Oryctolagus cuniculus: one gene and its partners. The protein of the gene in region 7 interacts with the protein of the main gene of each other region in a pairwise test. Links are inferred from orthologs where the notes say so. Each region holds a gene or a part of one and is shown on either strand. Other genes may lie near its edges.

Region 1 (3,500 bases), on a different chromosome or scaffold from region 7:
GCACCAGCTGCTCCTGGGAGTCAAATTCCTGGCTGCAGCCATCCCAGCGGCAGTCAGTCTCATACACGGATTCCGGCTCCGGCTTCTCCTCCCTGTCCGGGTCCTCCCGCCCGTCCAGCATCCCCAGCAGGGGATCCTAGGGCAGCAGAGGCAATCTGAGGGTCACATGGGTGACAGCACTGGTTTGGCTCAGGGTCCCAGAGGTCCAGCCCCACTTCACCTCTTACCTGTGTGCCGGTAGAGTTGGGGCTGGACATGTCCCCTTCCAAGGGCTCCTCTGGGCACTTGCCAACCAGCATGTCCAGCTCCGACTTCAGCTGCCCCCAGGGGGAAGAGGTGAGGGTGGTCAGAGTAACGGCAGGCTGAAGAAAGGGGGAGTTCTGCCCTAGGTGCCCCACCTCAGCAACTGGAACCCTTACATTGGGAAGGGACTTCAGCCTGCACAGGTGAACTGGAGGGCAGAATGTGGGGTCTCATTGGGAGGGTGTAATTGAACCCCAAGGAGTGAGCCTCCAGCAGCCATGCCTCCTCACTCTCTGGAGCTGAATGCTTATATTCCCTGTCCTCCCTTCTTTGCCTTTCTCCTAGAACGCCCTCCACTCCCTCCCCTACCCTGAGCTAAGGGGAAGCAGGTTGCCATATGGGGCCTCTCACCTGGCAAGGGGGGAGGGGTCCCCGGACCTGAGGATGTGGCATCATCCCACTGCGGGTGGAGTCGTGGGGCCCACAGGGCTGGACCCCAAAGGAAGGCGAGGTCCCTTTTTGGTGATTCATCTGAGATGGGAATCCCAGAGAGGGGCTGGGGAGGAGGAGAGAGAAGGCAGTTACTGAAGATGATGCCGAAAAAGCCTCCAGGAGGGTTTCTGGGAGACTTAGTATGAGATGCGCTTGAGGCAGTGCAGGGAGGGTTGCAATGCCTTTGAAATGGCAAAGATTCAGTAGGGTCACGTGGCTTGGAGGGCTAGGGCTTTGCATGGGCTTTGGTAGGGCTTTAGGGCCCTCTTAGTCTGGGGCTGCCTGCACCTCATGGTGCCAATGGAGAGATGGCCATAGGAGCCTCCAGGGGATGTGCAGCGAGAGTTGATGAAAGCCACGAGGGAGCTGGGCGAGGTGCGGATAACGGTCTGCAGGTCCAGGCTGGCGTCCGACAGAGGTGAGATAGACAGTGCCCGCTTCTTGGTCAACTTGACTGCACTCCGGGGAGGAGGGAAGAGTGGGCCTGGGGCAGGAGACAGGGGACATAGAAATGTTGAAGAAGGGGGTGGCATTGTGGTGTAGCGGGTTAAACCGATGCCTGCAACACCAGCATCCCATAGGGCCGCTGGTTCAAGTCGCAGCTGCTCCACTTCCCATTCGGCTCCCTGCTAATGCGCCTGGGAAAGCAGTGGAGTCAGGGGTGGGCATTTGGCCCAGCAGTTAAGCCACCGCTTGGGATACTGGGATCCCTTGTCAGAACACCTGGATTTGAGTCCTGCCTGTCTCAGTTTTGCTCCCTACTCCAGCTTCCTGCTAATGTGCACCCTGGACAGCAGTGGTAGTTGGGCCTCTGCACCCACGAAGGAAACTGAGGAAGCTCCTGGCTCCTGGCTTCAGCCTGGCACAGCCCTGGCCATTGCAGCCATTTGGAGGGGTGAACCAGTAGATGAAAGACCTCTGTCTTTTTTATTTATTTATTTATTTATTTTTTGACAGGCAGAGTGGACAGTGAGAGAGAGAGACAGAGAGAAAGGTCTCGCTTTTTGCTGTTGGTTCACCCTCCAACGGCCGCTGCGGCCGGCGCACCGCGCTGATCCGATGGCAGGAGCCAGGTACTTCTCCTGGTCTCCCATGGGGTGCAGGGCCCAAGTACTTGGGCCATCCTCCACTGCACTCCCTGGCCACAGCAGAGAGCTGGCCTGGAAGAGGGGCAACCGGGACAGAATCTGGTGCCCTGACCGGGACTAGAACCCTGTGTGCTGGTGCCGCAAGGCGGAGGATTAGCCTAGTGAGCCACGGCGCCGGCCAGACCTCTGTCTTTTAACTCTACCTTTCAATAAATAAATTAAAAAAATCATAAAAAAAAAAAAAGAAATGGTGATGAAGCAAATCTCCTTGAACTCAACCTGTAGGTCCTGATTCAAAGCAAACAAAAGATACTTGAGGGCTGGGCATTTGGTGCAGGGGTTAAGATGACCACGTCCCGCATCAGAGTGCCTGGGTGCGAAAGCTGGCTCCACTGCTGACTCCAGCTCCAGCTAGTGCACGCTCTAGGAAGCGGCTGTGATAGCTCAAGTGACTGGGTTCCTGCCACTCACATGGGAGACCTGGATGGAGTTCCTAGTGCCTGGCTTTGGCCTGGCCCAGCCCCAGCTGTTGTTAGTATCTGGGCTATGAACCAGAAAATGGGGACTCACTGTCTGTTGCTTCTCTAATAATAATAATAATAATAAGCAACTTTGCTTGTCCTGCTGATCGCATCTGTGGCCTGTTGATGATGCCTTGAGCCCTCACATCTCTGGACATCTCCTGCTTCTAGTTAGATGCTCTGCCCACCCACTTTCTCCTTCAGAACAAGTCCCAGAGGGGCAGAGAGGAAAGACGTGCCTGAGGCCTCACCCTCGGTGCAGTTGCTGGTCTCTCTGGCTGGCCCATAACTGTGGGGGCCAGACATGAGGTTGGCTTGGTGGCAGAAGGGCAGACCAGACAGTCCTAGAAAAGACAGATGGCTGGAATGGGGGCGTGGGAGTGGATGACATGTAAGGCCTCACCTTGAAACTCCAGGCAAGACCTGATCCCAAATGCCAAGCCCGTAGGACATGGAGCCTCAAAGCCGCTTACAGATGGGAAATGCATAGGTGCACTGACCTTCTGCCCCCATGCTGGGGGGGCCCTGGCTGGGGAGGGGCCGGAGACAGCAGGGTTCACCATAGCTACTGACTGGCGGTGGGGTCATCGAGTTGAACATGGTGGAGGAGGCAGGGACACTGCAGAAGGGAAAGGTAGAACCTCAGGTTATGAAGGTGGAGGGAATTAGCGAAGGTCCCTTCATGATCCCAGGCACAGGACCCTGGGCAGGGCTGTCTGTTCCCCCAGGCCCTCGAAGGCGTCTTCCCTGGAAACCAGGTTGAAAAGAGCACCGCTCGGGGTGGGCATTTGGCCAACAGTGAAGCCCCTACTTGGGCAGTCCAGATCCCATGTCAGAGCACCTGGATTTGGGTCCTGCCTGTCCCAGCTCTGCCCCCATTCCACTTCCTGTTAATGTACACCCTGGAGGGCTGCAGTAGTTGGGCCCTTGCCACCCACATGGGAGAAGTGGATGGAGTTCTCAGCTTCTGCCATTGGCTTGGCCCAGTTCCAGTTTTGCCAGCATTTGGAGAGTGAACCAGCAGATGGAAGCTCTGTGTGTGTGTGTGTGTGTGTGTGTCTGTGAAATAAATAAATAACAAACATATAAGCATCCTCCTGCCAGGGCCAGGGTTAGGGTGAATGCCCCAAGGGATAAAGGCCTTCTTGCAGTCTTG
Region 2 (4,130 bases), on a different chromosome or scaffold from region 7:
AAAGTGTATTCTGCTCAAGTTCTCAAAAACTCCCACCACCAAAAACTGCAGAAATTTCTCCTAAATGCTGGACTGCTCATTCTATCCAACTGGAGCTAAACGGGGATTTAGGCATCTTTTTCAGGGTCGGCATCAGAAACTCTTAACCGGGGTTAAAATACACTGGATGATAAAAGGAACTCATTTCCATAGAAAATGACACAACTTGGACTGCACAAGGTGGCAAACAGCCGAAGCACCCTGACAACCACAACATCGACCGTTTTCTCACGGTGATTGGAACTCACTGTCCACTGCCGTTCACAAGTCACCAGAAACAGCCCTCCTGTCCTGGTGTGTGCGTGTCCGTGTTACACGTGTATGCCCTGTCTCCTGCGGCCCATTGCCAAAGCTTTCTGAAAACAAACCGCTGCTCCTCTGGGTGGGCAGGCAAAGCGGCCAGTGCAGTGGGATTTTGTGCAATGCTAAGCTCACTGAATGGCACCCACCAAATGCCATATTTATTTAACTTGTGGCTTTCAGGGTTAGGAAAAAAAAGGGGAGGGGGAGAAAGAGAGAGGAGGTTAGTGTTTCAAAACCAGAATGTCAACCATAAACCCTCTCTGGTCAGGGTGTATCCGCAGTGTATACTCTCGCTTCTTATACAACCTGGGTTCTGAAACCTTCCTACCTCCTGTCTTATTTTTTAAGTAACAAGCGTTTTGCTAAAAAGACCTACACCTGGAGGAGCCCACGCCTTTCCCACCCGGAAAGGAACGCTGCTGGGGAAACTAGAAGCAATGCCTGCGACTTGGATGGCCTCTGATCACAGGGACCCACAACCTCGCGATAACCGAGCCCATCCAGGCAAATCCTGGCGGCAGTTCACCTGGCATGGGTCAAGAGAAAAATCTGACTTCTGTCGTCCATTCGATTTTAAGTTAATTGGATATGGTTTTCGAGACACCTGAGCCCATTTTGCTACTACCAAAAGAAAAAGAAAAAAATCTGCAGTCTGATGAACTTTCTCTTAACTACAAGTTTCCTCAACTGGTTAACAGAGAAAGATTGTTTCACAAGATACACTCTCACACTTAGGAGCGGCCAGATTGCCACTCTAAGTGGAACAGAAAGGTTTCTGAAGCAATGATTCTCTTGACGGGTTAAGTGAATTAGCTGCACATGCCAATTCCTGAAAATGCAAATTTGCCATCATTTTTCAGTTTTTAAAGGACAGGGAAAATAAACTAAACAGTAGAGAAGCCAGAAAGTGGAATTTGGAATTCCAGCCTTGGTGTCTTTTTAAAAGCACTGTCACGAGTAGTCCTACATTTGCAGGCACCAAACAAGAAGGGGCAAACAGCTTTTCAAAATAAAGCTTTGTCATAAAACAGGCGATTTCCTCCAGGAGCCAATTCTCAGCTTACTAACTCACCCAGGTGACAACGCTGCTCCACGGCGCTACCTTTTGCATTGTTTTGCATGGTCTTCGCCTGTCTCTCCTATTTAATTAAATAGCTCCAATTTTACACGTGGACGACTTAAAAGGGCTGAGGGATTCCTGCACGAGGTCCACTTCCAACTCTCGGGCCCGGCGCTGCGGCACCGCCTCGCCGCCCGCGCGCACCGCACGCTCTCTGGCTCCCGCACACACGCGCGCGAGCTCTTGGCGGAAGGCTGAGAGCCCCAACTTCGAGGGAACTCAGCAAGTGAGCGGAGGCACTGTTTCTGGGGCTGCGGGAACAGTCATTTGAGAAACCCCACAATCATCCCCTAACTACGGAGTTCTGGAACGTGCGTCCCGCACACCCCTTCCCCACACTTCCTCGGCTTCGCGTTTGCCAAAGGCAAGTGCCCCCCAACTGCAAGCTGTCTCCCCTCCAGGATCCCGGACGCACAACCCAAATCAAAGTCCTACCGCAGCGTCCTGGCCAGCATTCCGGGAGCGACGCTTTCGGCCCCTCTCATTCTGCTCCCCACATCCACACCCCGCCCCCGAAGTCTACCACAGCCCGGGGTTCGGGGGTTCCCGCCTCGCGGGCGGCGAGTTATCGATGAATCCACACACGCCCCGGCTCCGGAGAGACTTGGCCAAGAACTTTTCACACCGGCGCCAGCGCCAGCCCCTAACAGAGCTTCTCCCCAACTCCTTCCCAAAGCCGCCCGCACGCACGCACACAGACACACGCACTCCCTCCCGCCGGCTTCCAGCCCCTGGCGCTCAGAGAAGCCCTGACCCTCGGGTCCCAGTAACCTGAGGTCACCCAGGAGTCAGCTCTCGATTCCGCTTTTAAAATCCCGGGCACACAAAGCCGAGCATTCTACTTGGAGGGTGTCTCCGCAAAGTTCTGCAAGTCACGCAGCGCAGGGTGCGCGGACACCCCCAGAACCCGCGCCCTGGAGACGCACCCAGCCGGGGCCACGGCGCGCCGGCCCCCGGACGCGCCCCGCCGCCCGCCCGGGCCACCGCTACCTCTTCCTCCTGGAGGTTGGCCTCGCTCGGGGTGTTCTCCTTCTCGGCTTTGCCGCCGTTGTTCATCTTCCCGGTCCTTCGTCGCCGGGCAGGGCTGGGGCGCGGGGCTGGGCGAGGGCGCGCTCGCCCGCTTCTGCCTTCCCCGGGGCGCCGGGGCTGCCTCGGGCGGGCGCCGCGGGGCTGCGAAGGCTCGGGCTGGGCTCCCGCGGCGCGCAGACGACGGCGGCGGGCGACTCGGGGAGGAAGTGCGGGCAGGGCGCGGGCGCGGGCCGGCCGAGCGGGGCGCGGAGACAATCGCGACCGGGAGGGAGACCTGGGGCGGGAGGGCGGGCGCGAGGGAAGGAAGGAAGGGAGGGAGGGAGGAAGAGAGGATGGGGCGAGGGCGCGCGTCCCAGGAGTGAGCGCGGAGAGCTGGGGCTGGGGGCTGCCGCTGCCGGAGCAGAGCGAGGCTGGAAGGAAGGGATGGGGCGGCCGGAGAGGAGGAGGAGGAGGAGGAGGCGCCGGCCGCGGCTGGGACGCTGGGACGCGGAGAGCCGCTGGCTGCGCGCTCCTGGCCGGCTTTGGGAAGTCCGAGTCCGCTGCAGCTCCTTTCTCTCGCCTCCCTCCCTCCCCTCTCCGCTCTCCCCTCCCTCTCCGCCTCCCTCCGCCCTCCCTGGACGTGGGCTGCCGCCGTCAGCCCGCAGGGACGGGACGGGGGCCGCCGAAGCCCCCCGGCGGGAGGAGGGGCCGCGGAGTCGGCGCGGCCCGGGCCGGATGGCGCGCGCCGGGGAGGGGCGGCGGCGCGGAGCGGAAGCGGCCGACCCCGGCCCCGGCTCGACGGCAGAGCGAGGGCCGGGCGGGCTGAGCAAGGGAGGCTGGAGAGCCGGGTCCCCGGGCGCACGCGGCGTCCCCCGCGCCCCGGCTCGGAGAGGGGGCTTCGGGGAGCCGGGCCCTGGCCGTGCGCGGACCGGGGGCTGGGATGTGCCACTTTTGTTTGCCTGCTTTCCACGAGGGAGCTGCGCGCCCCCGGGCTCCTCGCCGGTAGGGGCTGAGACGCGGGTCGCGCCCTCGGGGCGAGGGCTTGGAGGCCCGGGACGGAGGAACGCCGGGGACAGCCGGGCCCCCGTGAGCCCCCCGCGAGCCCCCCGCCGGCCCGCTCTGGAGTTGATTGTTCACCTGGCCTCTCTTTGGGGAGCGCCTTCCTGGCAAAGGAGACCGAGCCCTGTTTATCCGGCTAATCCCGCGGCTGTTTAAATGAGCCCCCCGGCACACAGTGGGCACTTTTCTAAACGAGTCTTGGCAGGCAGCCCTGGAGGGTCAAGGCATTCGGGCAAAGCGAGGCGCCCGCCTAGTGTTCCCGCCGCGCCTCTGGGGGACTGCCTACTTTATTTTCTCGTCCGTGAAATGGGTGCAGTTACCCCGGAGTGTGGGGGGCACGCCTCACACCCTCCTGCCCGCTGTAGGCTTACAACATGGATGCTAACATCATTATGAAGAAAATTTCCATTTCTTCTGGGCCTGGAGCCTTTTGTCTTATGGGTCCAGTTATGCGTCTAAACTTGACTGCTACAAATGTATAACCTTACAACTCGCAACTAGTTCGTTCAGCGCCGCCTCCCGCTCCCAGGAATTCCTTCCTGCACAGCACCTATCACAGTTTCTATTTATTGACTGGCCTGCCCTTTATCTTGCCTCCCCT
Region 3 (3,979 bases), on a different chromosome or scaffold from region 7:
TGGCCATATTTTAGTTTCTAAGAAAATAAAAATAAGCAATGTCCCAGATAAAACCATCTGGTTATCTGAAACAAACAAATGCTTGTCACCTCTCATTTGTCTCTTCTTCAAACAAAATAATCCTACTTTTTTTTATCTTTCCTCAGAGTTCAATTTGCAATCCTTAAAATATACTTTATTTTTAGGTGGCCCCTCAGACAGGCCTCATAAGCATCTTAAGTTGCAGGATCAAAACCTAGATCTGTATACACATCAGTGTCTGGCCTGAAACAGTCTACTTACAGTGACTTCTAAACCCATGGACTGTGGTGATTTGCCTCTCATCAAACTGTACCAACTTTGCCTATGAAACCACATTCAAACAAAAGACATAAAAACAAAGCCCCAGGATATCTGTTCATTGCATGAACGAGGGTGAGCTACTATGTGTCTTAATTTTTTCAAGTTTACTGTAGATATATTTGAAATTTTAATTTTGGAAGTCGAATTATCATTAAAAGATTCAGGATATGGTGTATTATAAAATTTTTGATATGACATATAAGCCCAGTGCTTCTTTCCTTGTCCTATTTAATGTAGTTTTTACAATTAGGCACATGGAACCTGAATTTAGAGAGTTATGAATCTATATAATCTATGGCAAGTTATGAAAATATTAACTAAAGTCACTAACAAAGCTTCCCATGTATGTACCAAACAGGACAATTATTTTCAGAGAAATTAAGCTATAAACCTGATTCAAAGATCTGTAAAAATTGTAAATGGAAAGGGGAAAAGTGCATGAAATAAAATGCAAGATTAAAGCAAAACAATTACAACATAAAAAAGTTTGCACTGACAACGATATTAGAAAAGAGGCTGATGGATTAAAAAAAGCGTACACGATGAATGTAATATTACTAATTCACTTTTACCTGCAGGGATTGTCCTGGCTTTAATTCAACAACATCCATTATCCTGTAATGGAGCTGTATATACTACTCATCTCAGGCATGCTTAGTCCCCTGGAGTTGCCTTAAAGCCTTGACATAATAAAAGGTCAAGCTGATCCTAGCATGCATTGTAAACTACAATCACCCCCCCCCCCATTTCAGCTACAAGTCCCACATTCTCCCTGCTAACACTTGCTCACTTTTTTTCCATTTCATTGTATAAGCAGGCCAATTTGGAAATGGCTAGGCTAGCGTAGATGGGGACACCTAAATTTTCAAAATAATCCTACTTTCCTACTTAACCACTTACAGAAGCAGACCATAACACAACATTTGAGAGAACAGTAAAATGGTGCCTGGATACTGAAGGAATGAACAGCGAATAGCAGCACTCTAAAACCAAATGAATGCATTTCGTCTCCCAGCTCAGCTGTGTTTCTCGGGACACAAGGCTCAGACATAAAAAGGTTGAAGTAGAATTTCAGGAAAACCAATTTGTTTAAACATTCCATTGGCAAAATGCTGGATGCAAAATAATACCACAAGCCATGTCCCTTTACCACCGCTGTAAATTCAGGGCCCTCAAAATCACTCCCCTCAAATCCAATTAAAAATAAAGAGGCAAGCTATGAATTGGCATCTAGTTGTATGATACAGATCGAATGATAAGCATCTGTCCTAATGGGTCACAATGAAACTAAGGGAATAAATCTCACATTAATCCAAATGAAGCCAATGAATAATAATACAAGCCAGAAACTGTTTCAAAAAATATGCAATTACTTCCAAATATATAGGGACATTCATAACCCACAAAAACGCTTGCAAAGCACACTGCATATAAGCACTCTTCATAAATGCAATGTAAATGCTGGGGAACGTGTGTATGGATGATATGCATATCCTTATGGTGTATATGTTCATAACCAAACCTATGTCCTCAAATCAAACTCTGGATCTTGCAAATGGTTCCTCAACAACAGTACGTTCAAATATGAAATAGAATGCTGAATTCTGGAGCCACCTTTTCTTAGCAGTGAAGAAAAATAAGCCAAATCACCTTAAAATTAGTCGAGGAAGCTTACAAGATACCAAAGGTGTTTTTGAGGAAGGCCCAAAGCTGTATGTGAGAGCTGCAAATGAATTGATTCCTTTCAATAACACCCTTTCCTCCTGGTTAGCTCTTTTTCCACAAGCCCCCCCTCCCCATTCTGTTGCTAAGCTTGGTAGGAAAGGAACCAACTGGCTCTGTCTGTAGTCTGAGCCAGTTCAAGACAAAATCAGAACACCATTAAACACACACACACACACACACACACACACGCAAACGGATGCCGTCTCACTTCCCTCTTCCTGGCAGCCTTCCTCTCTCTCCATCCCCATCTCTGTCTCCATATCCCCACCCCCCTCCTCCTCACTCAGACTCAGGGATGGGAGTCATTGTTCATGTCCAGGCCACACACGTATATATAAGTCATGTAATAACAAGCTAAACCAAGAAGGGTGACCCACTGTCTCAGACTCACCATGCTGAGACCCGGAGAAGCTGCTGAAAGGAGGGAGAGATGCAAACTGAATCCATTTTCCCTGTGACCGATTCGGATGCAGCCTCCGAACCCAACATCAGCAGCGGCTGCTGGTCTTTTTCCCCTCCCTCTTTGGTTGGCGACGGTGCGAATGGGAACCACCCTTCCAGCCCCGCTAGAGTATCAGCAGTAGAGGCGGCAGCAGCGGCGGCGGCAGCAGCAGCAGCATCACCATTTGGGCCTCCTCCCTCTAGGAGGATGGGGTGAGCTCAGAAGCAGCCAGGAACTTGCAGCAGACACCTCCTCTGACTCCTCCCCCATCTCTCTCCCCCTCCCCCACGGCCCCACCCCTGCTGCGGTAGAGGCTGCCGGCCCAGCAGCTGCTGGTTGTCATGGCAACGACCAATGGTAAGCCACGGGCTAAGAGGAGGGGAGATGGGAGAAGCGAGCTGCAGGGGCTGGAGGGGAGCGAAGTTGGGGCTGGCGCTCTGAGAAATGATGCTCTTGGTCTCCGATCCTGGACTCCAGGTCGTCAGAGATGGGGCTAGGGTGCATACGCATGGAAGATAATAATTAAACTGAAATGAAGTGGAGATTGAAACGTATAAAACAGTTTAGTTGTACTTGGCATTTTCTATGGATTTCCAATAAAATGCATTAAAGTTGCTATCAGAAAAGATGACGACAAATGTGAAGAAAATTATTGTGACAGCAGATGATCATTACTCCAAATTTGTCCTTTCTGGAGCATCTTTTACTCAATAGCACTCAAGGTTGTTAAAAAGCCAAGTGAGTGGTTGGACTTTGCAAAAGATTCATAAGCTGATTTTTTTTCTTTCAGTGCTCCTGGCTTATTCTCAGGTGAATCACTTGGTTTCACTGTTTTTCCAGCTCCTCTCTGAAGAGAACCTGGAAGTATTTAACACTCCTCTGAGAAAAGATAAACTGGAACAGAGGAGTGAGGTTCCTACAAACAAGCAGGATTCTCAGCAGCACCTGTTGGTGGACAGTTCCAAATCTTTCTAGTGTCAAACTACTGGAGTGTTTAATTGCCAGCAGGCAATTCCATGCCGTTTTCATAGAGGCCCTTTTAGAGTTCCCAAACCAACTGGCAGTCGGGGTGGTAGGTGGGAAAAAGGGAAGTGAAATCAACAGTGTTGAGTCTACAGAAGTTCTGTTTCTAACTATAAATTATAGATGATGCTGTTGTGTATCCCATCCACTTGTGAGGATTGAGATAATTCTCTAAAAACACTTGGCTTGTAGTAAGTGTACAACAAATATTTTCTATAATTAGTACTATTAGTAGTGCAGTGTTTCACTGTAGCCACCACCTAATATAAACATACAAAAGAAGAATGTGGCAGTTTCAGGTAGAAGAAAAACAAAGGAAAGAAAGCATTAAACATGCGATGGCTGTAATAATGGTGATGATGATTGTAGTGGTGTTGGGAAAGACATGGAATCCTTAAGAGATTAAATGTGCTAAAAAATTTGGCAGTTGAAGACATTAATATTAGA
Region 4 (3,500 bases), on a different chromosome or scaffold from region 7:
CTGATTTTGCAGATTTTCTCTTTAAAATTATACTGTTGATAAATTTTTTGTCAGAAATATTTATTGATCATAAACAGATGGTTAACAAGTGCTAGGCACTGTTCCAGAAACTGGAGATACTGCTTGCTCTCAAGGAGCTTAGATTCTGGCAGGAAGACAAGCAATAAACTAGTGTTAGGTAGAGAATTATTATAGGGTGAAGTGTGTGACAGAGTGGTTAATGGCAGGCTATTTTTTTTTTTTAATTTATTTATTTAATTTGAAAGTTATGGAGAGGCAGAGAGAGAGAGAAAGAGGTGTCTTTCATCTGCTGTGTCTGCTCCCCCAATGGCCAGGGCTTGGGCCAGCCTGAAGCCAGGAGCCGGGAGCTTTACCTGGGTCTTCCACATGGGTGCAGGGGCCCAAAGATTTGGGCCATCTTCTACTGGTTTCTCAGGCACATAAACAGGGAGCTGGATCAAAATGGAGCAGTCAGGATTCGAACTGGCACCCATATGGGATGCCAGCACTGCAGGCGGTGGCTTTACCCACTAGGCCTCAGCACAAGCCCCTGGAAGGCTTGGTTTAAATCAAATGATTGGGGTAGGGAAAGATCTGAATGCAGGAAGCAACCAGCTAGGCAAAGATTGGGCCTCAGTCAGCATTTCAGGTAACAGGAACCACTGAGAGCAAAAGGCCCTATGCGGGAAGCAAAACCCTATGTGTGGCTGGAGTGTGGTCATGGATGGGGACTGTAGAAAATGAGGCAGGGCCAGACCTTGCAGGCCTGGGCATATAGTTTGCAGTGTGGTGAAAGAAGATTAAAAGTGTTTTAAGCAAGGGAATGACAAAATATGATTTAATTTTCTATATTGAAAGAAAAATTACTCTGACTACTGTATAGAGACTTGATTGTACTGAGTACCTGTAGAAGTAGGGAGGTCATGAAGTTCCTACAGACAAGAGATGATGGGGTTCACATGAGGACAGTCCTGGAGAATCATAGATTTGCTACATTTGTTGTCCTTAGGCGATTGAATAGAGATTGAAAATGTATTTTTTTTTTTTATTTCAAGCTTGCTTTGGAACGTCAGAAAACTGCAGAGAAAGAGCGATTATTTCTTGTATATGCTAAACAGTGGTGGAGAGAATATTTACAGATTCGTCCCTCACACAACTCACGGCTGGTTAAGATTTTTGCACAGGTTTGTAAATTATGGTAGGAAAGCTTCATGCCTGTATTTGAGCTTTACTGTTATACATGTAAGTTTAATTTAATTATAAAGAGTATTCAGACAGATGAAAGTTTACTTGTAAAATAAATAATGATTATGTAATACTCTTATACTGAGTGGTATAATATAATCTTCTATTGTACTTTTGATTTTAATTATTGTGTTTTTAAACCTTTTTTGAATATATTTGATTTGAAGTAGTTGTTTAACTTAGAATATATCCTAAATATATATATATATTTATATATATATAAATATATATATAAATATATATAGAATATATAGAATATATCCTAAATACTTAGAATGAAATAATTAACCACTTCAACACTTTTATATGTAAGATCAATTTGTGTGTGTGTGTGTGTGTGTGTGTCTACTTTTGGAGCAGGGTGGGAATGGCAATTTTTTGAAGCAAACAATTTTATATAATAATCCTGTGTAACCAAGATCTCCTAGCCAGTGACCAGTAATTTCGCTTTGGTGTTTCAACAGTATGTCTCTGCCTCTGTTTTTCCCATTTTCTCTCTTTAACAAACATAAAATATATGACAAGAGTCGTATATTTTTGAAAACTTTTGAAGAACATTCAAATATTTTATATGTATTCAGCCTCATTTTGATGATTTTATATAATTTTACTTATTTTCATTTTTTGTTTGAGGGACAAACACTGGTTCACACCCCAAATGCCCACAACAACCAGACTGAAATCGCCTGGAACTCAATATGGCTCTTTTGTGAGTGTGGTGGGACCCAAATATTTGAGCCATCTTCTCGCTCTCAGGGTGACATTTAACAGGAAGCTGAGTTGGAAGTAGAATTGACAGGACTTGGACCAAGTGCTCCCATATGGCATGCAGATGTTGCACGTAGTGATTTAACTGACTAAATCATGGTGTCAGATGTGTGTTCTGTAGATGCTTTCATATCAGTATAGTATAGAATTACTTTGTCTTATGTTTGTAACTTTACCCTGCTTTCCTCCAGATTTTGGAACAGGCTAAAAATGGTTCAATTTCTAGTTGAGGAACTTGGAAAGAGTAGACTCTAGCTAGTGGTGGGAACAAAGGAAACGTCTCCAAACCTTCTGGCAGCAATGTCTGCTAGTACACATTGCATGACCAGGTAGGCGAGGAATCCAGGACCAGGAGGAGGGAAAGAAAGGTGGTGACAGATCAAAGAAGAGGAAAAAGTTGATAGGCTGCTGAGGAAATTATAGAATTGGGATTTTCTTCTGGGAAGTATTACTTCAACAAATTTCCTGTTTCTTAGAATTCATTATGGGCTGGCACTGCAGCTCACTAGGCTAATCCTCCGCCTGTGGCGCCGGCACACTGGGTTCTAGTCCCGGTCGGGGCGCCGGATTCTGTCAGCTCTCTGCTGTGGCCCGGGAAGGCAGTGGAGGATGGCCCAAGTGCTTGGGCCCTGCACCCTATGGGAGACCAGGAGAAGCATCTGGCTCCTGCCTTCAGATCAGTGAGGTGTGCCGGCTGCAGTGCGCCGGCCGCAGTGGCCATTGGAGGGTGAACCAACGGGAAAGGAAGACCTTTCTCTCTGTCTCTCTCTCTTAAAAAAAAAAAAAAAAAAAAAAAAAAAAAGCATTATGAGAAGATTTGAACCACATAAGGCCATTTTGTCTCAAATTTTTTCTTTTTTTTTTTTTTTTTTTTTTTTTTTGACAGGCAGAGTGGACAGTGAGAGAGAGACAGACAGAGAGAAAGGTCTTCCTTTGCCGTTGGTTCACCCTCCAATGGCTGGCGCGATTGCACTGATCCGAAGGCAGGAGCCAGGTACTTCTCCTGGTCTCCCATGTGGGTGCAGGGCCCAAGCACTTGGGCCATCCTCCACTGCATTCCCGGGCCACAGCAGAGAGCTGGCCTGGAAGAGGGGCAACCGGGACAGAATCCGGCGCCCCAACTGGGACTAGAACCCGGTGTGCCGGCGCCGCAAGGCGGAGGATTAGCCTAGTGAGCCACGGCGCCGGCCTATTGTCTCAAATTTTTAACATGGAAGATTGTCAACTGGCCAGGCATTGCCTCTTTTCATAAACAACATGAAGGGTAGAGATGTAAAGATCTTTCTCGAAGATTGAAAAGCAACTCAGTTGTAGTAGAGTATATATTAAATTGTGCTTTTTGATTGATGCCTTTTCGGTTTATGCCACCTCTTTCCCCATACATAGAATAGGTAAAATGCTTATCTTACTTGGATTTCTTGAGTTGTTTCTTGCTGCTTCTTCCTGAACTCGACTATTTAATGAAATTAAGAAACTGCTGTTCCATT
Region 5 (3,500 bases), on a different chromosome or scaffold from region 7:
CAGGATTCTTTATATGCTTCATAAAAAAATTTATCTCAACCAGACATTAGTGAACTTTTTCTCAAAAGGACTGGTAGTAAGTATTTTAAACATGTGGGGCCATGGGGCCTCCGCACCAACCACTCACTGATTTCCGTCATTGTCTAGTACAAGTAGCCATGGGCAACACATCAATACAGAAAGAGGTTGTGTGGCAATAAAACTTAATTTTAACTCGCTGTAGTTTACTGACCCCTGGACATAACTTGATTTCTTTCTGAAATAAAAATTATTTAGGTTAAAGGTGTTTTTCCCCCCCCAAAATACTGAATTGAGCTTTCCTAAGAGGAAAATAAAATTAACAAAGCAGGGGAAAAAACAAACTGGTTTATGGTGAGGAGAACATGGTGTTCATCAGTGCAACAGTACAATGACCAACTTTCCCCCCATATTTTTATCAAAAACAAAAAAATCTTACTTGGACTTTTTTCTCCCTTCTGCTCTTGCTTTTTCATTTTTGAAAGTATGGTTTCACTGACCAATGTGCAGTCCATGCCTACTGTTTCTCCTCCCAATCTTGACTGACTGCCATCCTGGAAAAATATTTTTAAAAAAATCTAAAACAATTATCCCTTTGTGGCCTTATATTTACTTTTCACAAAAACAAATTGATAAAATAAACAATAAATCTTTCAGTTTTTAAGAATGAACTCATATTCACATTTGTATTTTAACAACAGCTACAAAGGGAGAGCTACTGACACCAAACTCCCTGGAGCTTGTGCTACCTTTCTTCTCCAGTTTGTCTCACTGTAATGAACACCAATGTACACTAATAGCAAAACCAAATATGATTTCTTTCTTGGTATATATATCACCTATTTAAACATTTTGTTGTGAACATGCTACTAAAGTAAAAGACAACTTCTCAAATTACTTAGAATCATAAGGCAAAAAAGTATTTTCAGTATGAATTTTAATTATAAAAATAGTCAACTGGGAATATGAATTTTCTTTTTGAAGCAACATGACTTCACAGCTAATCAAGATGGATGATAAATTATTTGGATAACAATTATTTAAAATATATTACTAGTACCTTATATTACTTATAAAACTACATGAATGTTTCCTAGCAAAAGTCTTTAAAGTCAGGAAATATTACCCTTTCAAAACATCATAAAGTGAGAATAACAAGTACCTTTATTTCGCAGTTTTTTGAGTAAGTAAATGTAGATTTTAAGAGAAATCTGATGATCTTAAGGTCTTAGAGTGAGTCAGAAAAGAAGGTTGACTAACAGCTCACTAGAATTAAAATCAGATGTGTTTTCATTCTACTTGTAACTTACCTTTGTATCTATTACAGTGATATCCATTTTATACTGAGAAAGGTCTGCTCCTGGATCTACACTCCACTGGATATTTTCAAAGGATACATCTTAAATAAGGAGGAAAAAATACGTAAAAATTCCCATCACTTTAAAACATTATAGGGCCACAGAGTAGTACACATGGAACATTATGCGTCTGGTAAAGGGCTTGTATCTAGGTTGCAGAATGAACTTTCACAACTCAATATTAAAAAGATAAATGTCCCAATAAAAGATGGGCAAAGGATCTGATCAGCCAGTTCTTCAAGAAGATACATGAATGGCCAATAAGTACATGAAAAGATGCTCAGCATCAGCTGCCCTTGGGAAGTGCAAGACCATAATGACACTTCGTCACACTGGCAAGAATCAGGGAGACAAACAAATGTTAGTAAGGACATGTAGAAACTGGAACCCTCCATGTTGCTGGTGGGAATGTGAAAAGGTGAGTTGCTTTGGAAAACATTTCATCAGTCCCTCACAAGGTTTAACACAGAGTCAGCATATGGTTCAGTAATTTCTCTCCTAGGTAGACCTTAAGAAAAATGAAAACATACATCCATAGAAAGACTTGTACACAAATGTTCACAGAAGCACTGTTCGTAATAGCAAAAACATAGAAACAAATAAAATGAGTGGGCAAATAAAACATGTACAATGTAATGTTCTTCAGCAATAACAAGGAAATATTAATATGTTATAATATGGATGAAAATTGAAAACATTATGCCAAGTGAAAGAGGTCACAAAAGACCACATATTGATTCCATTTATATGAAAACTCCAGATTAGGCAAATATATGAAAACAAATTAGATTAGTGGTACCTAGGTTTTGGAAGGAGTTTGGAAAATGGCAAAAATGTTCTAAATTTAGAATATAGTGATGGTTGTACAATCCCATGAATATACCAAAACCAGTGAACTGTCCACTTTCATGAGTGATTTTTATGATGTGAATTATATTTCAATACAAACATTTTTTTAAAAAAGTTAAAATTATAACACTGGAGGGGTTTTTAATGTATGCCTATATAATACATGATAACTACATAAAGTATAGTTGCAGTGGTACAAATATTACCTCCAATAGATCCTGAAAGATGAAGTAGCTATACTGTAATCGCTGGGATAACCATGAAAATAGTAAAAACAAAGGGGCAGGTGTTTAGTGTGGCAGGTAAGTCACTGCTTAGAAAACGTGCATCCTATAGTGGAGTGCCTGGTTCTAGTCCCAGCTGCTCCACTTTGGATCCAGCTTCCTGCTAATGTGCACCATGAGAGGCAGCAGACGATGGCTCAAATACCTGGGTTCCTGCCACTCACACAGGAGATCCAGATTGAGTTCCATGATCCTGGTGTAGCCCTGGCTGTTGTGGACATTTGGAGAGTGAACCAGCAGAAAAGATAACTCTCTTTCTCTCTCCCAGGGTCCCACAACCATTTCAAATCAACATGAAAAGTTTAAAAAAAATAAAAACAAAAAGCTAAAAAAATTCAGGAATAAGATGGTAAAAAAGGTTTTCATGCAGAGACTGAAACTGTCACTGGAAGAACAATTAAAATTATGTGCTTCAGGAAAAAAGGAAAATAAATCCAGAATGAAGGAGTAACTTGCCAATGAAGGATAAAGGAAAAACATAGTGTACTTGAACTTACAGAAGTGTCTGGTGACTGAAAAGACAAAAGGACTTTTTTTAAACACAACAAAATTATGAAACAATACATAAACATATGAAATCAAATAATGTTTTCAAATAAGAAGTTGAAAAGCCTGTCAATACATGTATACATGTATTGACAGACATACCTGTAAAGGCCAAGAACAACATGTCACCCAGGGAGTGAGCAACAAGTTTAGATAAGGAAAGTTCTAATTTTTATTTTTTTAAAATAAAATACAGTTAATTTTTTTAACCTTCTGTAAAGAAAACAGATTCCCTCCCCACCAAAAAAAAAAAAAAAAAAAAAATCCTCACAAGTAAATCCATAAAATCACCTATAAAAGCACCAAAAGATCTCAATTACTTTTTTCAAAAAGCACAAGAGCAGAAAAATCACAGTCAAATGTAACCAGTGAAAATTATACTGCAAATACAGACTCATGCAGGAAGAAGTTACGATTTTTTTTTTTTCAAAACAACTCAATCTCT
Region 6 (2,920 bases), on a different chromosome or scaffold from region 7:
ATGCACTATACTCCAGGGCACTGGGGTGCACAGGGCCCAGCTGGGGAACCCAGGCAGCTCAGAGGCTACCCGTGGATCTCCGGAGTCCAGCTCCTTCTCCCATTTTCTCCTTGTCTCAGTTTCACACAGAATTCCTGAAAAGATCTGGTTCTGAATCCAATGCACCAGCTGGCCCACTCCCTGCGCTCCCACCTACCCTTAGCTCACAAGCGGCTGACCTGGAGCTTGCTGAGGTCAGCCACCCCGCCTTGACCTGCGCACCTGTTCCCAGGGGGCTTTTGTGCATCCCCAATAATTTCGCCTCTGGGACCTCACGGTCACTGCCTCGGGCAGCGTGGTGTAATCTGATCCAAAGCCTTTACAAACTTGGTGTGCTCACTAACAGCAGCAGAGGGCTGGCATAACCCAGCTGCCACCCACGGGGTAACGTGAGGGATTGTCAAGATGGGAGCAAGGCAGGGCGAGCGAACCAGCGAGATGAAACCGTGCGACGCGCTGGCCGAGAGCTGAGAAGGCAGGGGCTCAGCCCCGCGAGCTTCAGGGTCCCTTCCGGCTACTCAGCACTCTCCTGGGGAGGATGAGTGCGAGGTGAACCCACAGCCTCTGAGAACATGATAAGCGACTGGTGCAGCGCCAGCGCAGCTGTTTTTAATGGGTCCTGCCCGCTCCTGGCTATCAGAAAGCCGTTCTGTGCACACCAGGCAGACTCGGCTCTGCTTAGCGCAGCGTTTCTGCGCTGTCCGACGCTTTAGGAATCACTTACAAAGTTCTTACCCACGCGGAGGGCACAGGAGGTGAGAACTGCAAGCAGTAAGGAAGGAATGGACAGCGGATAGGACTGAACGGGCAGTCCGGGAAGACGCGCTGGTAGGAGGTTTTTCACGTTCAGTGTATTCGAATGGCTGCACAAGACTATGAGCGACGCCTTCGACTGATGGACATCTGCGATATTCCCAACCGCTCGGGCACCAATCGCTGGAGCACCGGCCTGGGCGGCCTCGGGCTGCGCGGCTGGAGCAGCAGGACTCCGCGCCCGGCTCCCGTCCAGGAATTCGGCCGCTCGCCCGAACTCCAGTGCTGGCTGCGGACCCCTCGCGGCCTCCTCCCCGCCCTCGCCCTCAGCCAGGCAAGGTTCCGGAGCGGCCGCCGCAGAACACGAGCGGCGCGGGCCTCGGCACACGCGGCGTGAAAAAAGACCGAGTAGAGGCCTCTTGAAACGGGCTCCCCGGGAACGCCGCAGTCGCCGGCCGCACTCCGCGCCCGCTCACGGCCGTGCCGAGCGCCACACGAGAGCGGGCGACACGCAACACGCCGCCCTCGCGAGGCCCGCCGCGCGGCACCCGCTCCCGCACACCCGGCGGCCCCGCCTCGCCCACTGCGGCGCCCCGCCCCTCTCCCCGGCCGCCGCACGTCCTGGTTGCCACGGAGACACGTCACGTACGTGCCGTGCGTCGCCTTGGAAACGGCAGCTCGGCGCGCGGCCGGAGCCGCGCCCCCGCCGCCCGGGCCGCACTCGCGGGCGCCGCCCGTGCCTGGAAAGGGGTCGGGAGCCCCGCGCGGCGGCCTCGGCCTGGACGGGACCTGCGGGCGCGCGCTGCGCGGGGCGCGCTGACTCGGGCGCGGTCCGGAGGCGAGGCGTGCAGGGCGCGCGCGGGAGGCGCCGGCCCCGGTACCCCCGTAGCCGCCGCCCGGCGAGTCCGAGCTGGACGCGCCCCCGACCCCATGGAGGACGGCCCGCTGGAGCTCATGACCAAGGACGGCGGCGACGTGCCGGCGCCCCTGGAGGTGTCCAGCGTGCCGGCCGTGGGCGACGTGCTCTCGGGCGAGTACAACGGCGGCATGAAGGAGCTGATGGAGCACCTGAAGGCGCAGCTGCAGGCCCTGTTCGAGGACGTGCGGGCCATGCGGGGCGCCCTGGACGAGCAGGCCTCGCACATCCAGGTGCTGTCGGACGACGTGTGCGCCAACCAGCGGGCCATCGTGTCCATGTGCCGGATCATGACCACGGCGCCCCGCCAGGGCGGCCAGGGGCGCTGCGCGGGCACCCCCCGGGAGCCCGAGTGCCCTGCGCCGGGGGCGGTCGCCAGCGAGGACCCGGAGGACGGGAACGCCGAGGAGGAGAAGGAGCGGCCGTGCCCCGCCGCTCCCGCCGGCCGCCGCGAGCGCCCCGAAAGCCCCCGCGCAGGCAGCACGGCCGCGCCGCCGCTGGAGCCCCGAGACCCGCCCGACGCCGCCCTGCTGCGGCTGAGGGGCGAGGCCGCGCTGTGAGGCCCCGCGGGCGCCCCCCGGCCGCTGCGGGTCGGACGCCGCCCTCCGACGGCTGCTCGCGGTCCTGGCCGAGGGGCGCCCTCGAGGCGGGGTCTGTTGGGCGCAGGCCCGTGGGAGCTGGGGCCGCTCCCGCCGCCGGCCGCGGAGCCCTTGCGGGCTGCGCAAAGGTGAGCTTGCGGGAGAGGACGCGCCGGCCCCTGCCCTGCCCGTCCCTCCCCAGGTGGCGAGCGGACCGCTGGCCTGTGTAAATAGCACCCTGCCTTTTCTATTCACGACAAGGACTTCTCTAGGACGGTGGCAAACAATCTCAAACGATTTGCCTAGAAATTAAGGAATCGGGGGTGGGGGGGATTCTCTTCTGCCCCTCTGTTGAGTCCAAGACACTCGGTGCTCCGCAGAAACCGCCGCCCCCACCCCGCCGCAAGTCTGCGCTGCCGTTGGTAAAGGGAGCCCAGGACCCGGGTGAATGGGGTTCCCGGGGCGGGCGGGGAGGCGCTGGCTGCGAATGTGCATGAAGACACGGGAATAGCGCAAGCTCTGGATTGTGCATGCAGCGCGGATCCCGCCCGGTCGCTGACTTCGCCTGGGACTGCTTCTCCTCTCGCTGGGGTTAGAGAACAAAGAGCCCAGCTCGCAGCAGCCCAGATGCAGG
Region 7 (4,221 bases):
AGGATGTGCAGCAGTCTCCACAGCCTCTACCCACTAAATTGTCCCTTCCTCCCTTTGTGACAGCCATAACTGTCAAGACATCACCAGATGTCCCCTGGAGAACAAAACTGCTCCTAAGTGAAAACTTCCGTTCTGCTGTGTCAAATGCTATCCCATTTGCCAGCTGGGTGAAATCTATTTTTGCAACTCCAATTATCTTTTACAATTATTATGCTAAGATGTGCTTAAAAATGAGAACATTAAAAAGTTCTTCATTTTTTGTCATTTGACTTGTATCACCACTGGTAGTCAACATTTTAATGAATCTATAAATTTGCTGTGATATAAGCCTATAATACTTAACATATCTTAGCTGTAGGCTAGGAAGTGTTTTGAGTGCTTTATAGGGACCACTCCTTAACCATCGCATCAGACAGAAGAAGTGGTAGTATTGCTTCCTCCGACTTTGCAATCGGAGGACTTGAAGCACGGGGGTTCAGTAACTTGCTCGCACCCCCTCACCCCCAAGCAAGGTGGCTCCGCAGCGCCCTTGGCCTCCTACCTCGTCCTGCCTCTGTGTTTTCCCTGAGCCACGTCTCTGAGCCTCGATGTTGTTAAGGGGCACCCATGTGGGTGCAGGGACTATAATCCGCTGTCTTCCCAGGTGCATTAGCTGGAAGCCAGATCAGAAGTGGAGGAGCTAGGTCTGGAACTGGCACACCGATAAAGCGCTCCCTTGTTCACCTGCAGCCCTTGGCACTCCCGGCCACCCCCGCAGCAGCTCATGCTTCTCCCACCTGCGCCTCCTCTCGCGCTCTCCTCGCCAGGGAGGAGGAAGCAGCCAGAGTGAGAGGAAATAAGTAGATTCCAAAGGGCCCGCGGGGGGAAAATGGTTTAGCCCAGCGAGGCCGGGTTGGCTTTGGACATCTGGAAGAAGCAGGTGGGAAGAGGGAGGCTGGAGAAGCCAAACTTAGGCTTCGGGCACTGAGCTGCTCGTCACCAAGGCAACTGCGTTGTTATGGCAACAGCACGGGTACCACCGCCTCCTCCTCCCACAAGTAACCTGCACAGCGGCCAGACGCTTCCGCATGAGGGTCGTGCGGCCTTCCGGGAACGGCTCGGGCAGGCGGGAACTGCTGCCCCGGCAGCCAATCAATAAGCTCTATCCTGTCGGGTCGGGTTCCGCCCGCCAAGAGCGCCAAGAAGGGGGTTGGGACTTTTTTCGCTCTCGCCAAAGGGCGTTGAGAAGGGCGGTCTCGAGTCTCTAATCCACCACTTAGGAGCCAAGGAGAGGAGAGGGGCGGGGCCTGAGTGAGCCCGACTAGGGGCCGGGTACCAGTGTAACGTGGGGGGATCCGCCCACTCTCGCTTCTGCCCAGTAGCAAGACGGAGAGCTCATCCTGACGGTTGGAATGTCCAATGAGCGTCGCTGCCAGGCCCCGGTGCGGAGAACGCCGAGCCAATGGGCAGCGTCGGTGGGCGGGCGCGGGTGACAGGCGGCGCGGCGGAGGCGGAGCGGGCGCTGCGGCAGGAGGGAAGATGGCGGACGAGGAGAAGCTGCCGCCCGGCTGGGAGAAGCGCATGAGCCGCAGCTCAGGTGCCGCGGGGATCGGGGCCGGGGCAGGGCCGCGCGGGCCCACGGAAGCAGGGCGCGAGCTCTGCCCTCGAGCGCGGAGGAGCCCCCCGCTTCCGTCCCGTGAGGTCTGGGCTCCTCCGCGTCGCCCTCGGAGTAACGGCGCCGGCCCGCCCCCGTGGAGGGCTGCAAGGCTCAGGAGCCGGGAGGAAACTGAGGCAGGGGGCGGGGCGGGGGAGGGGCCGGGGAGGCCGCGGCGCTCCCTGAGGCGGCGGCACTGAGTCTGCCAGCCCGGCTGTCTGCAGCCAGCACGGGCCTGCTGCACCTGTCGCTCTGCGGGGAGCTGGGCCCGGGGCACTCCCTGGGGAGGGGGATACCCCTCACCGAGCAGAGAGGCGTGGCACACACACCTGCCGGCCACACCTCTTCCTGAGTCTGCTTGGAGCCCAATCGAAAGCTTGGCCCCGTTAGGTGTGCACCCCGCATCGTGTTTTTAGTTCTCTGAGAATTGCCGCACGTCTGGGAGATGGGTCGTTGGTGCGCCCATTTTACAAGTGGGGACGCTGAGGCCAGGAAGTGGAAGGATGTCTTCCAAGATCGTGCATTTCAGGGGGGTTGGAGCCGGCTTGGAACCCAGTCTGCCTGCTCCAGGGCCCCTGGCGCTTTTCCTGTGTCACCGCGAGCGCCCGAGGAGCTGGCCCGGCTTCTCTGAGTAGGTCTAGGGTCCCTCTGCCGCCCCTGGAGCCCGCAGTGGCCACAGTCGAAGTAATAGTCCTTGTGTGTCGACCCAGGGGAGGTTTGATGGTGTTGATTCGCTCACCCCCATTTTGCAGATGAGTAAAACTGAGGCTCGGGGAGATAAGGCCCACAGACAGCATCTTAGCCTCAGTGGGTGGCTCAGCTGGATTTGTTGCTGGAACCCCCCGATCCCCTGTGTTATTTTTTCTTCCCTGAAGTTAGCAGTCATTGGGGTTCTCTTGTTGTCGTCTTTGCTGGTTTGGAGCCTGTCTTCCCCCACTGAGCATGTGAGCCCCCTCAGTACAGGGGCTGTGCGCTGCCGTGTCCGCCCGTGGCGCAGGGTGGACACGCGATGGGTTTGCTGCCCTCCCCGCAGGCCGGGTGTACTACTTCAACCACATCACGAACGCCAGCCAGTGGGAGCGCCCCAGCGGCAACAGCAGCAGCGGTGGAGGCAAAATCGGGCAGGGGGAGCCGGCGCGTGTCCGCTGCTCGCACCTGCTCGTCAAACACAGCCAGTCCCGGCGGCCCTCGTCCTGGCGGCAGGAGAAGATCACCCGGACCAAGGAGGAGGCCCTGGAGCTGATCAACGGTGAGCAGGGGCTCTCGGGCCGGGATCCTCTCCACTTCTGCTCTCCCTGCTCTGAGGCTCGCCGACTCCAGGAGGAAGAGGGCGTTTGGAGGTAGAGCTGCAGGAGTTCCTGCCAGAGGGAACTTGGGAAGAGGCTCATCCTGGGCGGGGCCCTTTAAATCCTGGGGGCTGGGGGCGGAACTTGGGGAGGCAGCCGGACGCAGGTCTGGGTTCAGCAGAGCAGGGAGGCCAAAAGGACATGTGGGGTGATCCGGGTAAGGTGGCAGGAGGCTGAGCGGCCTTCCCAGCTCTGGGTCGGTGCTGCGGTGGGGCTGCACTCACCAGCTTGGGTCTTAGGAAGGGATAGACCATGAGCAGGTGGGCCCGGGCCCGCTCTTCCGTAGGTGGAGATTTGGGGATGTCAGCAGGCTGCCAGCGCGGGGGGGGGGGGGGGGGGCCTGTGGAGGCTGTGGGAGAGATTGCAGGCAGAGGCAGTGTGGCTCGAGCCTGGGGTGGGCCGAGGGTGGAAATGAGGGGGAGGCGGATTCTAGAGAGATTCAGGAGACAGACTTGGGAGGATGCAGGGGTGTGTGAAGTGGGCGAGGCTCTGCTTGGGAGGCCCACCACACCCTGGGCTCCTCAGGACTGGGGTCTTGTGCCAGCTGTGTGTCCTGGAGCAGCTGTGTTCTCTGAGCCTCGGTGGCTGCCTCTGTAGGCTGGGCGCGTGTCCCCATGAAGAGCCGGGAGCCGTGGGCTCGGTGTCTGGGGCTTGACCCCAGTCCTTGAGGCATATGCATGGGGGAGCTGAGGTCGAGGGAAGGCCTGGGCTCATGGGCTGCTTCTCTGGAAAGATCTCTGGGCCTGGACACGGGCGGTCTGGTGGGCTCAGCATAGACCCTCTGGTGACCTTGGACTGCGACCTTCTCTGACTTCAGTGTCGTCCTGCTCGAGGTGGGACTGGTGCAGGACCCTCAGAGGTTGCTAGGAGGCCGTGGTGAGCCGGCCTTGGCTGTGGCGCACTCAGTAACCAGACATCCTGTGTGTTTTCCACAAGCCTTGGGTGCCTGGGCCTTGTCCTGTGTGTGCAGGTGACTGCTCCCCCGGTCTGGCTGTGTTCCAGAGGATCAGGAGTCGATGGTTTGGCCAGCGCCCTCCCCAGCTGGCAGCCTGGGCCCACACGAGTCTCCTCAGTGCCCACTGGGACCCGGTGCTGCCCCGGGAGACGCGTCTGCAGCGAGAATCAGCGCCTCCACCTCTCTGCAGAGGCTCCTCTTCCCAGCATCAGCTCCTCTGCAGCTGCTGGGCTGCCGCCAGGGGCTGTCAGGAATCCGAGGCCCGCCCAGTGTCACTGTTGGTGTCC

What was found.
Region 1: the proteins of PIN1 (region 7) and GLI1 interact in binary tests that used the Homo sapiens proteins (3 or more experiments, as listed by UniProt). The link is inferred for Oryctolagus cuniculus from reciprocal best matches to the Homo sapiens genes PIN1 and GLI1.
Region 2: the proteins of PIN1 (region 7) and RBPMS interact in binary tests that used the Homo sapiens proteins (3 or more experiments, as listed by UniProt). The two-hybrid records come from large-scale screens. The link is inferred for Oryctolagus cuniculus from reciprocal best matches to the Homo sapiens genes PIN1 and RBPMS.
Region 3: the proteins of PIN1 (region 7) and JAKMIP2 interact in binary tests that used the Homo sapiens proteins (3 or more experiments, as listed by UniProt). The two-hybrid records come from large-scale screens. The link is inferred for Oryctolagus cuniculus from reciprocal best matches to the Homo sapiens genes PIN1 and JAKMIP2.
Region 4: the proteins of PIN1 (region 7) and CEP76 interact in binary tests that used the Homo sapiens proteins (3 or more experiments, as listed by UniProt). The two-hybrid records come from large-scale screens. The link is inferred for Oryctolagus cuniculus from reciprocal best matches to the Homo sapiens genes PIN1 and CEP76.
Region 5: the proteins of PIN1 (region 7) and RBBP8 interact in binary tests that used the Homo sapiens proteins (3 or more experiments, as listed by UniProt). The two-hybrid records come from large-scale screens. The link is inferred for Oryctolagus cuniculus from reciprocal best matches to the Homo sapiens genes PIN1 and RBBP8.
Region 6: the proteins of PIN1 (region 7) and CCDC184 interact in binary tests that used the Homo sapiens proteins (3 or more experiments, as listed by UniProt). The two-hybrid records come from large-scale screens. The link is inferred for Oryctolagus cuniculus from reciprocal best matches to the Homo sapiens genes PIN1 and CCDC184.

Annotation. Positions count from the first base shown.
Region 1 is NC_091442.1:60,090,853-60,094,352, reverse strand, and holds part of GLI1 (zinc finger protein GLI1), read right to left. Parts: intron 2,964-3,500; 5' UTR 2,945-2,963; coding exon 2,845-2,944; intron 2,689-2,844; coding exon 2,596-2,688; intron 1,220-2,595; coding exon 1,024-1,219; intron 800-1,023; coding exon 655-799; intron 363-654; coding exon 228-362; intron 137-227; coding exon 1-136. UniProt on the Homo sapiens protein: Acts as a transcriptional activator. Binds to the DNA consensus sequence 5'-GACCACCCA-3'. Regulates the transcription of specific genes during normal development.
Region 2 is NC_091433.1:80,425,844-80,429,973, reverse strand, and holds the start of RBPMS (RNA-binding protein with multiple splicing), read right to left. Parts: upstream 2,801-4,130; 5' UTR 2,519-2,800; coding exon 2,453-2,518; intron 1-2,452. Other genes in the region: collagen alpha-2(I) chain-like, read left to right, coding at 2,915-3,685.
Region 3 is NC_091437.1:35,267,463-35,271,441, forward strand, and holds the start of JAKMIP2 (janus kinase and microtubule-interacting protein 2), read right to left. Parts: upstream 2,801-3,979; 5' UTR 2,459-2,800; intron 1-2,458.
Region 4 is NC_091441.1:69,551,029-69,554,528, reverse strand, and holds part of CEP76 (centrosomal protein of 76 kDa), read left to right. Parts: intron 1-1,055; coding exon 1,056-1,184; intron 1,185-3,500. UniProt on the Homo sapiens protein: Centrosomal protein involved in regulation of centriole duplication. Required to limit centriole duplication to once per cell cycle by preventing centriole reduplication.
Region 5 is NC_091441.1:54,689,054-54,692,553, forward strand, and holds part of RBBP8 (DNA endonuclease RBBP8), read right to left. Parts: intron 1,418-3,500; coding exon 1,329-1,417; intron 573-1,328; coding exon 458-572; intron 1-457. UniProt on the Homo sapiens protein: Endonuclease that cooperates with the MRE11-RAD50-NBN (MRN) complex in DNA-end resection, the first step of double-strand break (DSB) repair through the homologous recombination (HR) pathway.
Region 6 is NC_091440.1:137,729,988-137,732,907, forward strand, and holds CCDC184 (coiled-coil domain-containing protein 184), read left to right. Parts: upstream 1-1,460; 5' UTR 1,461-1,722; coding exon 1,723-2,268; 3' UTR 2,269-2,420; downstream 2,421-2,920.
Region 7 is NC_091447.1:67,377,720-67,381,940, reverse strand, and holds the start of PIN1 (peptidyl-prolyl cis-trans isomerase NIMA-interacting 1), read left to right. Parts: upstream 1-1,421; 5' UTR 1,422-1,518; coding exon 1,519-1,576; intron 1,577-2,666; coding exon 2,667-2,882; intron 2,883-4,221. UniProt on the Homo sapiens protein: Peptidyl-prolyl cis/trans isomerase (PPIase) that binds to and isomerizes specific phosphorylated Ser/Thr-Pro (pSer/Thr-Pro) motifs.